Rhinolophus ferrumequinum: one gene and its partner. The protein of the gene in region 1 interacts with the protein of each later gene in a pairwise test. Links are inferred from orthologs where the notes say so. Each region holds a gene or a part of one and is shown on either strand. Other genes may lie near its edges.

The links.
Region 2: the proteins of SPG21 (region 1) and DTX3L interact in binary tests that used the Homo sapiens proteins (3 or more experiments, as listed by UniProt). The two-hybrid records come from large-scale screens. The link is inferred for Rhinolophus ferrumequinum from reciprocal best matches to the Homo sapiens genes SPG21 and DTX3L.

Annotation. Positions count from the first base shown.
Region 1 is NC_046289.1:45,702,428-45,709,899, forward strand, and holds the start of SPG21 (maspardin), read left to right. Parts: upstream 1-4,448; 5' UTR 4,449-4,586; intron 4,587-7,472. UniProt on the Homo sapiens protein: May play a role as a negative regulatory factor in CD4-dependent T-cell activation.
Region 2 is NC_046285.1:47,308,889-47,316,674, forward strand, and holds the start of DTX3L (E3 ubiquitin-protein ligase DTX3L), read left to right. Parts: upstream 1-4,768; 5' UTR 4,769-4,803; coding exon 4,804-4,993; intron 4,994-6,050; coding exon 6,051-6,262; intron 6,263-7,786. Other genes in the region: protein mono-ADP-ribosyltransferase PARP9, read right to left, coding at 627-768, 1,523-1,537.

The DNA of each region.
Region 1 (7,472 bases):
ATTTAATGTGGTAGGCTTTAGTATTCAGAAAGGAAGAAATGGGAGCACATTTTAACCGAGCACACATTAAATGCAGGTACTGTGCTGGACTATTTCAAAACAATTGTCTTAGTTACTAGGTAAACATTGTCTTTATTACCTCTAAGAATTCATAAAGTTTTCTAGAACCCTACAGATTTGTTTTACTTATTTTGTAGTATATTAATGCAGCTCTTATGTTGCAGGATTCTTTACTACTGCTCTTCTTTGAAGGTAGATTATCGCATTGTTTACAGAAGATACATGAGTGAGATGCTAGGTTGGCAGATGGTACCTTCACTCAGGAACTTTTATTTTAAAAAGTTAATAATGGACAAACATTAACTTACCCAAAAATTTAAAATACTGTTTCCATTAAAGAGGCATTTTGTGTGTATGCTTTTTAAAAGTTTGATAGGAAGGGAGAGGCAGTGGGGGGATTATCAGAGAGACGCAACTTTGAGGAAAGGCTATTGTAAAGAGTTTGTAATATAGCTCTCAGAAACATAGGAAATCTAAAACCTTAGAATTGGAAAGAACTTAGAGATCATTTAGTCTAAACTTGGACTCACTTTATTGAGAAAGAAACTACCCAGAGAGAGGAAATGTCTTGCCCAAGGATAGAACTCAGGTTTCTTAACTCCCAGATGATAGTCATTAATTATAAATAACTGTTTGTAATAATTGTTTGATAGTACCTTTATGTAGCAAGCTATAGAAGAGTCATATCTTTCTTGGGCAGTTCCAGAATCCCCACTCCATATCTGATCCCTATAATCCAGTGTGGTATGTATTTGACACAGACTTGGTCTGGCAATGAGAAAACAATATTCAATTTCAATCTTGGGTCTCAGCGTAATTTGATATATTATATCACTGTAGTCAATTGTACCCTGAGAAGCTTTAAAAGGATGGTATTCCAAGAATTGGTATTAGTGTGAAAAACTAAGTGTTTTGTTTCTCTTTCACTTTTTCACACATCCACAGTTCCGGGGTGGGGGGTAAAAGAGGGGTAATTCACTCTGGTGGTCAAGGGAGGGAGGCATTGTAAATGGTGGGAAGAACACATACAAAGGCCTAAAGGTTTGAGACTTATAGTGGGTTCGGGGTCCTTTGAGAGAACCAGGCCTGCTCGAGCCTGTGCACCTTGGACTTTAGCTTGAAGACAGTGGGGAGCCATTGAAGGATTTAGAGCAGGATTTAGGGCAGGATTTAAAGCATGAATATAGTTAGTTGCTTTGAATATTTTTGTAAAATCACACAATAACATATGAATATATTCTTACATTAATTACAACACTAAATCTAAAGCCAAAGTTCTCCTTTACCAACCCTTCCATCCCGTTTATTCTCAGAGGTAACCACTGTTGTGTTTGGTGTACATACATGCATAAGAGATATATCTAGGATTATTTTATATGTGTGTTTTAAAACAAATATTACCCTGTCAAGAGAACAATTTGAGAGGTAGAGCTTGGGTTGGGGCAATATTGAGAGCCAGCTGGCCATCTGTTTACTTTGCTTGGTGTTCACAGAGTATTTTGTGAACATTCCAGTTTTAAAGTAAGATTCTCACCCAGGGATTGGTGCTGTGGGAACCATCTGGTAGACCCCAACCACGACAGCTGCAAACCCTCACAGCCATATCTGCAAGGTCTGTCTGTACTACGGCCTACTCTGGGTCAAAAGTTTGCTTCCTGCAGTTGTGCAATTATGGGACAGCTGGAATCCTCATATTAAATGTTCCTTGTTCATATGAGGGAATGGACAATGTGTTTGCCATTTGTTATGGAACAAGTGAGGATTCAAACATAACCATGGGGTCCTTTTCTAAGGGAAACAAAACATTATTTGGGGTTTGATCTTTTACATTTTTTTTTTTAAAGATTTTATTGGGGAAGGGGAACAGGACTTTATTGGGGAACAGTGTGTACTTCCAGACCTTTTTTCCAAGTCAAGTTGTTGTCCTTTCAATCTTAGGGGTGGAGGGTGCCATTCAGCTTCAAGTTGTTGTTCTTTCAGTCTTAGTTGTGGAGGGCGCAACTCAGCTCCAGGTCCAGTTGCGGTTACTAGTTGCAGGGGGCGCAGCCCACCATCCCTTGCGGGAGTCGAACCGGCAGCCTTGTGGTTGAGAGCCCACTGGCCCATGTGGGAATCGAACCGGCAGCCTTCAGAGTTAGGAGCATGGAGCTCTAACCGCCTGAGCTACCGGACCGACCCCTGATCTTTTACATTTTTAATAAAAGCATATATGTAACAAAACATATCTATATATTGAAGTGGTTTTTCATGATCAATACTCAAGTTAAACATTATTATTACCAAATTAACAGAATAAAGACTTCTAATATATTTGGGCATACGCATAGCTTACCTCTTATTAGGACTGTTACTAAAGTGAGGTTTGGGGGTGTGGGATCCAAGGAATGTTGTTTTCAGGAATACATGTGGATAGATTTATTCTCTCATTCATTCATTCAGTACACATTTAGTACCTGTTATGGGCCTGATCATTTCTAAGGCACTGGTTGAATCACTCTGTGCCCTTTACTCTTTAAATTAAAGTTCCCAGCCCTCTTGGACAGATACATAATGTAACAACTACCTATAATGTATTTTACATACAACCAGTGCTCTTCCAGTTATTCCACTCTTTAAACTATTCCAAAGTCCTGAGGAAAAGCCAAAAGGTTAAAAATCTTCCATGGGAACATGCCCTATACACCTATAATAAGGCCACTTCCTGGGACTTGAAATTCCGAAAGAGGTAATGGGGGGTGGGGTTTGCAAATGTTTTATTGTGTTCTTGAGAAATGTTTGGGATTTGTTCAAGTCCTAGACTGGGACCCAAGGCTCCTGAACAGGAGGGCATAGGTCATAACTAAGGATGCAATTTACTTGGATTTCCCCTGACCTTAATCCAATACACAGTTGCCTGGGTTAGGGCTAATTCAAAGGCATTTAAACAGGATTCAAGCTTTTCCTAAAACAGATTAGGGAGCAAGCTTTTCCTAAAACAGATTAGGGAGAAGCACTTTCAACAGGACCTTGTTGCAGGATTACTAAAAAATTCAAACAATAAGACTTAAATGTTATATTCAGTTGTATACACTCTTTCAGCAAATCTGGAAATACAAGAGTCGTGACATTTGCAACATCTTGCTTAAAAATGATTATAAATACAAGGTGTGATTGAAAAATATAGTGAATGTTTACATTTTAAAAATTTATTACACTAAAAGATACATTGCTATTACTCCCCCCTCAAAAACACTTATCCCATCATTCTTGCCACATTCTGAAGCAGTTCTATAAGTCCTGTTTCGTGTCTTTACTTCATCCTCCATTATGACAATGCTCCATATCACACATCACTTCTGGTAGGGCAATTTTCAAATAAAAACATTACGGGTGTGTCCTCATCCACCTTATTCACCAGATCAGGCCCCAAGTGACTTCTGGCTCTTCTCCAAAGTCAAAATGACCATAAAAACTAAACGTTTTGAATCGATTCAGGACATCGAGGCAGCCTTGGCAGCACAATTAAACACATTCACAAACGAGGACTTCCAGAACTGCTTCAGAAAGTGGCAAGACCTATGGAATAAGTGTGTTCGAAGCAAGGGGGAGTATTTTGAGGGGGATTAATGGCAATGTGTCTTTTACTGTAATACATTTTTTTAATTTAAACTTTCACTGTATGTTTTGATCACATCTCGTTTATTAATATTCTCTATTACTTAAAGGGAAAATGATGGAGATGGAAAATGATGGAAAATGATGGAGATGGAGAAGCCTTGGGAACTGTTCCCCGGAAAGCTTCCAGAACGTCAGCACAAGTCTGTAAAGGGAAGTGGGGGCGTTCCACGGGTGGACTATGGAGGGTGTCTGTAGCTGTGCCAAAGACAAAAAACTTACCAAGAGAGTATACATAACCCTGCTCACCCAAGCCTGCTTTACACGCCAAAGAGGGAACCTGCTTTCTCCCAACTGGGAACAAACTGAAGGCAAAGGTAGGTCCCAAGGAACCAAATGCCCCCTCCTTCCACTCCCATAATCTCTCCCTCCGTACCCACGTCTGATAGAGCTGGGTGACCCAGAGCTGACCCATAGGCCACTCGGACCTCCTTCTCCTCCCCGCGCCCCCAAACACCACCGAGACGGACGACGGTTTCCCAAGCCGCAGGAATAAGCAAGAGCCCCGGGAACATCTCAGCCTAGTCACCAACCCTCCCCGTCGTCATAGTGACCGCCTGAGCCCCCGCAGCCCCGCCCCTTCCTCGCGACGCGGCTCCACCCCCTCCAAACCCGGAAGTGTGAGAGTCGCGCCCGCTACGCGGAAGGTTTGGGAGGAGGGAGCGCGGCGGCCCAGGCTTGCTCCGCCGCGCGCCCCGCCCCTCGGAGGCCGGCCCTCCGGTTCGCCCCCACTGCCTGCTTTGCCTGCTGCTCCTGAGCGCTGCGGACACCGGCCCCGAAAGGGGCTCTGCCGTCTTCGCGGCCCGCTCCTGTACAGGAGGGAAGAGCCGCCCTGGGGAGAAAGGAAAGGGACGTGGGGGCGGCCACGGCAGGTGAGGGATGGGTGAGGCCCTGGAAAGCGGGGGTGTGGTGTGTAATGTGTATGGGGTTGCAAGTGGGTGTGTATATAATATGCGCTGCTGCCTCTGTTAGTGTGACTTTGTGAGTGGGCCAGTCCACGTGACCATGCACGTGATCACGTGTGTGTGTGTGTGTGTGTGTGTGTGTGCGCGCGCGCGCGCGCGCGCTCTAGTCTTGAGTTCATGGGGGTGGTCGGTGTGCCTGTGACTCTGCCTTTGTGTCACCGATGGGACTGGGAGAGGGTGGGGGGCGCTTGACCTAGGCATACTCCTGTAATCCTATTCTGGGGCTACACTGCTGCAGCCCAGGAACATGTTTTCCAGTAAACTTAAGAACTCTGAGCAGAGGCCAGTTATTTTGGAGATTGTGCCTCAGTTTGAAAGTGACAAATGTCTTTGTCATTGCTGAGTAGGGCCAGGGGGATGAGAAAAGTAGCAGGGCTAGAATGTCTCACTTTTCCTCTTTTCGTTTTCCTGGGGAGGTATGAGTTCTGCATTTGTGCTGCTTCTCCACCTACGGTGTTCCAGCTCCTGTTAGCACAAAGATTCAAGAGACTGAGGAGTAACTTAATAGCTGTATGCAAATTTCTAAAAGCTTTTATACCAAGACAGAACACAAAATGAGGTGTCACAGAAGAAATGTCAAGTAGGCAGCTTTTCCTCCCATGAGATTTAGAAGATAATGGAAAAGGTTCATGAAGAAAAGAAGGATAAATCTTCCCCTAAAGAGATCTAAAAGGATGGTTATGTCGTGGTATGGTAAGGTACTGGAGACTTGTATTAAAAAGCCAAATGCATCACCCAGAGACTCTCAGGTTCAATATTTTATTATTGCTGGTATTAATAATAATCACAGATTGTCCATATGTAGATCAACTACAGATAGAGATAAAGGATCAGAAAACCTCTGACTAGTTAAGCTGGTTATGAGACACTAGTTAAGCTGGTTATGTGACACATTTGTCAAGGTGATTCCATTGACTGTAAACTGGCAGCTTCTGTTGAGACGCAGAGAGATAAGTGCTGGTAATTCTTCATGCACACTCACAACTGGCAGTTTTGTTGTCAAGCATCACATGGGCCAGAGAGGATGGGGTGTCCAAAGCATCCCTGAGGAGGGCTTTCCTTAGGCAAGATTAAGGCTAATCTCTGCAGCTCTTTCCCTACCAGCATGAACAGGTGCTTTTGTTTTTGTGAAGAATTGAATTGTGAGAGATCAAATCAGTGCTGAACTCTTGGCTCACATTCTTTCTTATTTCATACCAACCAGTTTGGTCACGATCTCAGTTAACCTTTTTTTGCCATATACAGAATGTTCCTCTTGTGACTTGGAAAAGTATACCCCTTTAGTGGATGAAAGAGCTAGGAGAACAACTTCCTTCTCATATCGCCCCCAGCTGTTCTCCCTTTGCAGCAGTGAGCTTTTTTTTTTTTTCACTCAGATGGCAGTTGGTCATAAGCAACATTTGGTATCGATCTTACCTTTCATGTACTGCCAAATTAGCACAAGTGTTAAAATCACTTGCCTCTACAAAAATGTAGTCACAGTTGGGTGGAATCTCTCCATCCAGTAAGATTAGTTATAAAATGTTATGATACTGGGGTAGTTGTGAATAGTACTGAGGACTGAGGTAAGGAACGTATTTCTATTTCTTGCTGTAGGAAGAAGTGGATGACAGTCAATGTGTACCTGTGTGTGATGTATATTTGTATAGTAGTTTTGTTTGTACATTGCAGTTGATTCCAAATTACGAATATTTTATGCCAAGTTTGGTAAATCTAGAAGGAAACTTTCCAGCTTTAATTAGCTAAGGGATTTTTATAAATCTATTGAGTAGATTTTTTGTTTTTTCTCTAAACATGTTTTTGATATTTCTTCCTGTAAAATGTAATTGTTTATAATAATGCAATACTAGAAAATGTCTCCATTAGGAATTTTTTAGGTGATATAGGAATATTTCAAGTCTATCCAGGTGAAAAATATTCCAGAATATGTGCTAGTTGCTTTTAATTAAAAGTAATAACCAGCTTAGAGAAAGGCTATAGTTCAGATGACTAAGATTTTTTAACGTGTTAGTATTTGTTAAGAGAAAATGAATATACAAAGAATGATTTTCCTTATTTCGGTATGAATAATAACTATGTGCACAACTGATTTTCAGTGTAAGACTGGCTAATGATTTGCTTAATATTTTAGAGCAACTTACGATTTTAACAAATTTTTCTGAAAATACCATCCTAGCCTTGAGAGAAGAGACCACTATTACAAGGGCAAGATTGTAAATCAAATTTAATATTGGATGTCTACATATACTACCTCCTTGGGGTTCAATTTAGTAACCCCCAAGTCAGAGGTAACATTTGAGACTGAGTGCCCTGTGCTCCTGAGGGAGAAGTGGAGGGCCAAGGAGGGAGAGTTGCGTTGCGTTTAGAATCCCCTGCCCCTGGCCACTCCAGAGAAGCCCCTCTAAAATGACAGTTCCGAGTTCAGCCCATGAGTTCAGTTCTAGGGTCTTGAATTTATCCTGTCCCTGCTAGGAAATGCCCTGGGGTAGAGAACAGGGTACGATGCAAGTATTTGAATCCTTCCAAAACCGATGGGTGGAAGTTCCTCATTTGGCAATAAGAATCTGCAACAGGGAACTATAATTTCAGGTTCCTGTTATGACATTACATAGATACCTAAGCAAAGAGGGGCAGCCTTTAAATTGATAATACTCAGCCAGTTTAACACCGTTCGTTGCCCGGGTTAGAAGGGACTCTGGAATTGCCTAGTTCAATCTCATTAGGACAGCGTCACTCATTTAGTCAACAGATGATGCCTGCTGGTGACAAGCACTTTCTAGGCCTTGGAGATAC
Region 2 (7,786 bases), on another chromosome or scaffold:
AATCTCTTTTCCTTTCACAATAAATCTTTTGCATTCCTAACTCCATCTCAGTTTTTGCTTCCTTGAGAACCCCGCTTGTGACACTGCATTTCACTGGAGTCTAAGGCATCGTTATTATATGTCACTGAGGAAGGAAAAACGATGCCATTTAAACCATAGCACACTACTGAAAGGGAGGAGCTTTATTTCAGAGATATGAAAAAATGTGCATCCTAAAATAGGGAAAATGTCGTAGTTAATTATATTTTACTTCAACTCCCATTTCTAATCTGAGTCACCTAGAAAGAACTTTGGTGGCTTCAATTACCTAAAAGAAGCAGTACGTGAGTAGCCAGATCCAACTGGCCCACGTTTTGGTTGAAAATCACAAGTGGGCCACCTCTAGGATTAGGAAGGTTCCATTTGGCTCTTACAAAGCCCTTGTTGAGCAAGGGTCAATCAGTGGGTCACCTCTTCTGTCCAATTTCAGTTCTACGGCTGTGGACAGAAGAGTCTGACATCTTGTGAGCAAAGGAAAGGACCAATGAGAGCCCTAAGAGAACACGTCAGCTGGTGCCACACCGCCTCTGAAGCAGTCCCCCTTTGAGACAAGTGCCGGGTCACCACAAGGTCCTGCAATCACGCACCTGAGCACCTGTGGGGTAGACAGTCTCCTTTTGTATTCCCCTTTCTCCACTGAGAAAAGATAGGTGCAAAGACTTTCTGAAACAAGCCCGAGACTGACAGGATCCTACCTGATTTCTCATTGTAAGCTGCTGCTCCAGTACCCTGTGAAAAATGAAAGTGGTTTAAAAAAAACTGAAACCAAATGACTACAGACTACTGATAACAAATACAGCCTAATAAGCACAGAGCAACAGAAATTCTGCTAAAAGCACTGGGTTTGAGAGGGAAGGGGAACACATGTTTGTTCATTTGTTTAATCTGTGTGCCTGAAATACTTGAAATACTAAATGTTCTAGCAAACAATGACCCTACCCCACTTTCCTAGAGGCCAGTACACTTCTAATTCAACATGGGTTGGAGATTAACACTTGAAAAGGCCCAAAGATCACAGGCCAAAAGGACCCAAAACTTTCAGACAGGCCTCCAATTTCCAAAGGCTTGTAGGGTTTCTCTAGACAGAACAGAAGACATGCGGACATGAGCTTCATCAGCTATATCTTCCTGTCTACCAATAAGGACCCACTTTTCAATTGCTTATCTTCCTCCATCCTCCTCCTCTACCCCATCCTGCAAAAAAGCAGAATTGCTGCATGAGAAGATAGAATAAAAATGATACTGAAGTCATATTTTTAAAAATCATCGATCCTCATGTTGACTCTGTTGATTAGATTAGCATGTTCTTGATTCCTCTTCTCCCACATGGTACAGGGAGACAACTTTTATTGGGCTATTAAAACCAAGTACGAATACTGGGCATAACTGAAGACCCAGATTTCGTGCTTAGTTATAGGAAGTACTATGCCTGATCAAAGTTCATGATTTATGTGAGTATACATTTATAAAAAAGTACTTTTACCTTGGAAAAGTCCATCCTCCAAGTACCTGGGGTCTTTCAATGTTTATACTCTGTTTTGCGTTTCTGAGCGTAGACTGCTGTTTCCAATTATGGTGGTCCACTTCTAGGAATGAATAGAAAGGATGCAATAAGCACTGATCAGCATCTTAGGAAATTTGATAAGAATACGCCATAGGAAGACAAAACATGATTTCTGATCTTGAGTAGCTTTTAGTTTTACTGGTGAAGATGCCCTATTGTTTTTCTGCTGTGGTTACTGTTTACCTTCTGTCCTTTACAGAGAGGTTCCAGTTGAAACCGTAATGGCAGTTCAGAGAGGGGAAAGAACCATAAGGGTTATAGTAGGGAAAGCTTTATGGAGAAGGTGAGACGAGAGCCAGACCTTGAGGGATGGAGCAGGTTTGTATATAGTTAATTGGAAGAGGAGAATGATTCCAAGAGCTAAGACAGAGCACAGCATTCAAAGAACAATGAGGCAAAACCAGCTTTATGAGTATGAAGACCCCTGGAGAATGTCTGAAGAAAGCAAACTGTACTTATGCCTGTCAAGGATATGTGTTACTGAGCCTATGATAAATTTGCTGATCTAATTAGAAAGGGGACTGTCTGGATAAACATCAGAAACTCTGGAAAAACATATTTCAATGATTTTCCATCTAATATGTAGGGATCAAATTTTTGGAGACCAACAAAAATGCTTAACAACACAGTTGCCTACACTTGTTGCCCACATAGTTGTCGTTAGGCCTCTGAAATGATTTCTAATGCCTTTGTAATGAAAAATTTTGTACGACTATCTACAGCATCAGGGAACTATTATTCCTACATGTCAGGAAAAGCAGCAAGTCCAATACAGTCCTAAAGTGTGAGGACAAGATGCATTTTTGCCTCCAGAGGGCACTGCTGTTTTCACAAAAGAGGGAAGTCTCCTGTCTGCTTTGGCTGTGGACATCAGGTGGGCTTTTGCTTCAGATGCTGTAGCACTTATGTTTTTCCTTCGACCAGGCTTTTAAGGCCTAAGGATAGACTCTTGAGGGTGGGGTGAGGGGTTATTAAACCCCAAAGAAATTAGAAACAAGGAGCATATTGCTCAGAACATTCAATCTCTCTCATTTTAAAAACAACACCAATTAACAACAAAAGCCTTCCCAACTTTCCCTTACTAGTTCCTACTGTGTTCTTTTCTCCGCATGGGCAGCATGAAGAGGTTGACTCTCCCCCATCCGTCTGCCTGCTCGGCCCACTGTGGTGGACTCCTGCCCCACCCCCAGCACTCCTCTGAAACTGCTCATCAGTGATCTCCACAAGGTTAACCCCAGTGGACTCTCTTCTGTCCTAATCTTTACTTGACTTCTCTCTATCATCATTTCATTCTTTGAGTCCTAAAACTCTGCCTTCTTGGCTTCTCCTATGCTATCTTCCCTTGGTTCTTTTGTTACCTTTCACTTTGCCTTTACAGGCCCTTTGCTTGGATTCACCTCCCTACACCCACCCGACCCGCTCCGAAATTCATGCTCTCTCTCCTGGATTCCACAGCTCAGTCAATGATACACCATTTACCCACTCAAGTCAGAAATCTAGAATCTCCTCTTTTGTCCCAGATGGAACCCATCACTTGGGTCCAAAGCACCCACTTTCAAATATGCCCCTACCCTCCTTGCCCACTGACATCATTTCACTTCAGGGCCTCTTGTCTGAGCTATGTCATTCTCTTTAAAGATTTTAATGTATTTAATTTTACATTTCATTGTTTGAATTGGTATTATGTTTACTGGTTCAAATTCAGAAACTGTAAAAGGCGCCCTCCTACCTCTAACTGCAGAATCACAAAGCCCATGCAGCTGTAATGCTGATAGTACTGCCAAAATGGCTTGGATTCTGCAAAATCCAAGCCTGTCTCAGGCCTGTCTTATCTCAAAAACCTTATCTCAGGCCTGTCTACTTCCTTTGTCCCTGCTTGGAAATGTGTCCTCCACATGGTTGTCCACGCCATGTTTCTAAAATGCACTTCTGACCTGTCACTCTGTTTCCGGTGCTCACAACCCTTCCGTTTCTCCCCACTGATCTTCAAGACTTTTCACTGTCTAGATCTGCGCTGTCCGCTGTGGGCCATTAGCCACATGGAGCTCTTGTACGCCCCAAATGTGGCTCCTTAGTCCCAATTGAGTGAGATGTGATGTAAGTGTGAGATAAACACCAGGTAGTAATGACTCAGTATGACAAAAAGCATGTAAAGTATCTCATACGGTTTTAAGATTGCTTACATGCTGAATGATTAATTTGAGATACAGGAACGATTACATGTAAGATTATATTGAATTAAATAACATCATTAAAATTCAGCTGTTTATGCTTTTTAAAATATGGCTACTAAATATTTTTAAATTAGATATGTGGTTCCTATTAGATATGTGGACAGCACTGATCTAGACCCTTCCTCTGTCACGTCCCTCACCCATCTCATCTCCTCCAAGGCCCCAAAGCTCCCTCTGCTTCAGATCACAAGGGTCCTTGGGCCTCAGATGCTCCTTCCCTCCCGACCCCTACACACTCACACACACATTCTCTAAGACTCTGCTGCAGACTTCCTCTTGGGCGCTTTCAAGAGATTTGCTTCTTTATTCACAAGTCCGCCTCCCTTTACCAGCCTGTGAGGTCGCTGGCCTCTGCGTTCATCTTTATTCCCCAGTACAAAGGGCAGCACACAGTCCGGTTTTGTTGGCCAAATCACGCTCCAAGAGCCAGTCTAAAGGATAGAGCTGGAGGGAGGTAACAGGTGATATGTCATAATGCAGGAGAACACTTTCAGTTTTTTTCAAATGTAGGTATTAATCCGAATTCACAATGTGAATTACATTTTAGCTGCACACAATAGTAACAATAAGAGTTAAAAGGAATCACAAACTCGGGAGAAACTTCGACTTCAGCCTCTGACCAGTCTCACCCTCTCCTGGGTTGGAGGCGGGGGCCGCCTGGCCCTAGGAGCCCGTTTCTCGCCCGCCCCACCCCTACCTCGGCCAAGCCCGCAGAAAAGGAGACGCGAAAGCCTTGGGCGCCCACCGCTCGGGGGGACACGGGACCGACATACTCACCCGGCCAGACGGCGGCAGGGAAGGCAGCAAGGAGAGGAAGGAGAGTAGCTGTGCTGGGAACAGGGAGGGATCTCGGGGAAAGCGAAACTGAAACTTTGAGGCCCAAGGCGACGAGGCGGGACGCACCCCTGCCCCAGTCCCTGTCCCAGCAGAGGCCGGAGCCGGTGCGCCAGCTCGACGCCGAGAGCCATGGCCTCGAACCGCCGCTCGCCGTCCCCGCTGCTCGTGCGGGTGTCCGAGACGGATCTCCAGCAACCTCTCCACCGGAAGCTGGAACGCTACTTGCAGAGCCGGCGCTCCGGCGGCGGGGAGTGCACCGTTAGACCCCTGGGCCCGGGCGCGCCGGGCACCTTCGTGGTGGAGTTCGTGGAAAGGGCAGGTGAGCCGCGGGCCGGGCTGGGGCTGCAAAGGCCGCCCCTGCGGCCCAGCCTCACGGGATTCCAGGCTAACCCAGTGTGAGCTGGCCTAGGAGAGAGGGCGGGAGAAAGTATGGCACCTGTTTGATGGGGCACGGGAACCGCGGGCTCTTGCTGACAAGAGACGCAGCCCGCAGCCACGGAGGATGGAGTCCAGAGGTGCCCAGTCTGGGATCTTGGTCTGACAGCGCCGCCTTCGAGTTCACGCTTTCCAGTATCCTCGTCCTGCCTTATAGTATTTCTCAGCTCTCAAAAAAGCACCTTTCCCTACCCCAGACGTTTGTCACCCCGTGCCCTTTAGGTTTTCCACTTTTATGTTTTAAATAATTATTCCTTTGATTTATTCTTGAGGATTACAAAAGTAATATATGCGCACTATAGAAATGACAAAAAGAAGAAAACCACCTGGAGATAAACAATGTGAACATTTTCGTATATTTCTTCCAGGCTATTTCTATGAACGTCAGTAAACACATATGTATATTTACAAAATTCGGAGTCTGCACTGTTGATTCCCTACTTTTCTCACTCCACTTTATGTGATGAATATTATTCCACATCATTGAAATGGGAAACCGAGACAGTTTCAGAGACATGACTTTTAATGAGTGGACGATGTTCCATATCATTGAGATTTCATTTCTGCAGTAAAACTTAAGCTGCCTGCTTGAGAGTTTTGAATAGCTCTCTCACACCCCCTATTACCAACCACCATCCCAGGATGCCGGGGCAGGCTACAGATACATGAATACCCTGTTTCCCTGAAAATAAGACCTAGCCAGACAAACAGCTCTAATGCGTCTTTTGGAGCAAAAATTAATATAAGACCGGGTATTATATTGTATAAGACCCGGTCTTATATATTAATATTAAGACTGGGTCTTAATATTAATTTTTGCTCCAAAAGACGCATTAGAGCTGATTGTTCGGCTAGGTGTTATTTTCGGGGAAACACAGTAAGAGGATTTGAAATCACTTATATGCCTATGTGTATGTGTGTGTTTAATGTCTCCACTGAAGCTAAGGAGGGAGTGTTGAAAAAGGAAAAGCACCAAATTGTGGTTAAGGACAAACCTGTGCCTATCTTCCTGGAACCCACCGAAAATCCAATAGAGAAAAATAGGAGACCCAGAATGTCTTCGCTCACACAGTCACATGAAGGGGTGAGGTCTGATGAGAAGCATCCACCTGAAGAACATATTCCTAATGCTGTGGATTCCTGTGGCCAAAAGGTGAGTATTGAAAGAAGGAGCTGGGTATGTGCTTGCAACTTGCTCTCCAGTCACCATACCTTTCATTATTGGCCCAACAGTTATTGGCCTGAGGACTTACTATGTATGAGCCAGGCGCTGTCTTAGGCACTGGAACACACAGAGATGAACACAACAGGTCCCTGCTGGGCGAGGGGGAGGTACAAAGAAGGACCATAAGCAAATAAAATAAATAAAACAATTTCAGAAAGTGGTATGTGCCATACAGATTGACGGACAGGGCCAGGAAGGGGAAGGGTGGCACTACTTATGACCAGAAGTCAGAGACAACTTCTCTGAGATGACAAATTTGGCCTGAGGCTTGAATGATGAGAAGGAGCCAGCCAAGCAAAGAGTCATTTGACAAATCGTTATCAACTGTCTACTGAGTGCCAGGCACGATTACAGGAGCTGGGGATACAGCCAGGAACACAGCAGACCCTGCCCTCAGGGACCTCCCATTCTAGTGAGGGAAACAGACACCAACAGCTAACAAATAGGTTTATAATAACATGTCTGCCAGTGAAAGTGCTAAGAAGAAGAAGAAAGCTGGATAAGTGGCAGACAGTGACAGAACCACTACTTTAAATAGGGTATCAAGTAAAGCCTGTCTAATGAAGTCGCATCTGAGTTGAGACATGAGTGAAGTAAGGAAGCTAGCTAGCTAAGTGGATTTCTGAGGGAAGAATGTTGTACGTGGAGGTGCAAAGGCCCCAAGTGCAAAGGCCCCAAGACAGGAGCTTAAATCCTGAGCCCCAGGAGCTTCAAGGAGAGAAGCCAGTGTGGCTGGAGAGTAGTGAGCAAGGGAGAGAGTGATAGGAGAGGAACTTGGAGAGGTATCCAGAAGAGTCCGATCTTTGGGGATGAAGGTAAAGACTGGATTTTAATTTAAATGGTAGGGGATTATCAGATGGTGCTGAGCCAGGGGAGTGGAGTGATCCGATGTGCATCTCTAAAGGATCAGTTTGGCTGCTGTGTGAACGGAATGTAGGCAGGGGCTAGAGTGGAAGGTCAGAGTCCAATTAGGAGGGTTGCAGTGGACCAGGTGCAAGATGATAATACCTTGGACTCTGGGTGGTCCGGATGGAGGTTTAAGAAGTGACTGGATTGAGGAAACATTTGAAGGAAGACCTGGAAGAAGGATGGTACATACAGAGGAAATGGCATGTGCAAAGATCTTGAGGAGGAACAAAATATTAGAAATCTTGCTTTTATGTTACATTCAATGTGTCTGTCTTTTTTAGCCTGGTCTGATGTGCTTGTCTTATATTTGATCTTCTAAAGGTTAGGGTTTAGAGGGCCCACCAACATTGCATGTGGTTAGGTGTTTAGTTATTTATTTTTATTTTATTTTAAAGGAAGGGGTTGAAGTAAACAAAACACAGTAGTAGGAAAATACATCCTCTTCAGATTTATGGCTCTCTTCCAGGCTCACAGACTCGTTAGTGAGAACCACAGCAGCTTGCCCAGAAAAAGGAAGTGCTTTCCCTACACCCCATTCTCCAA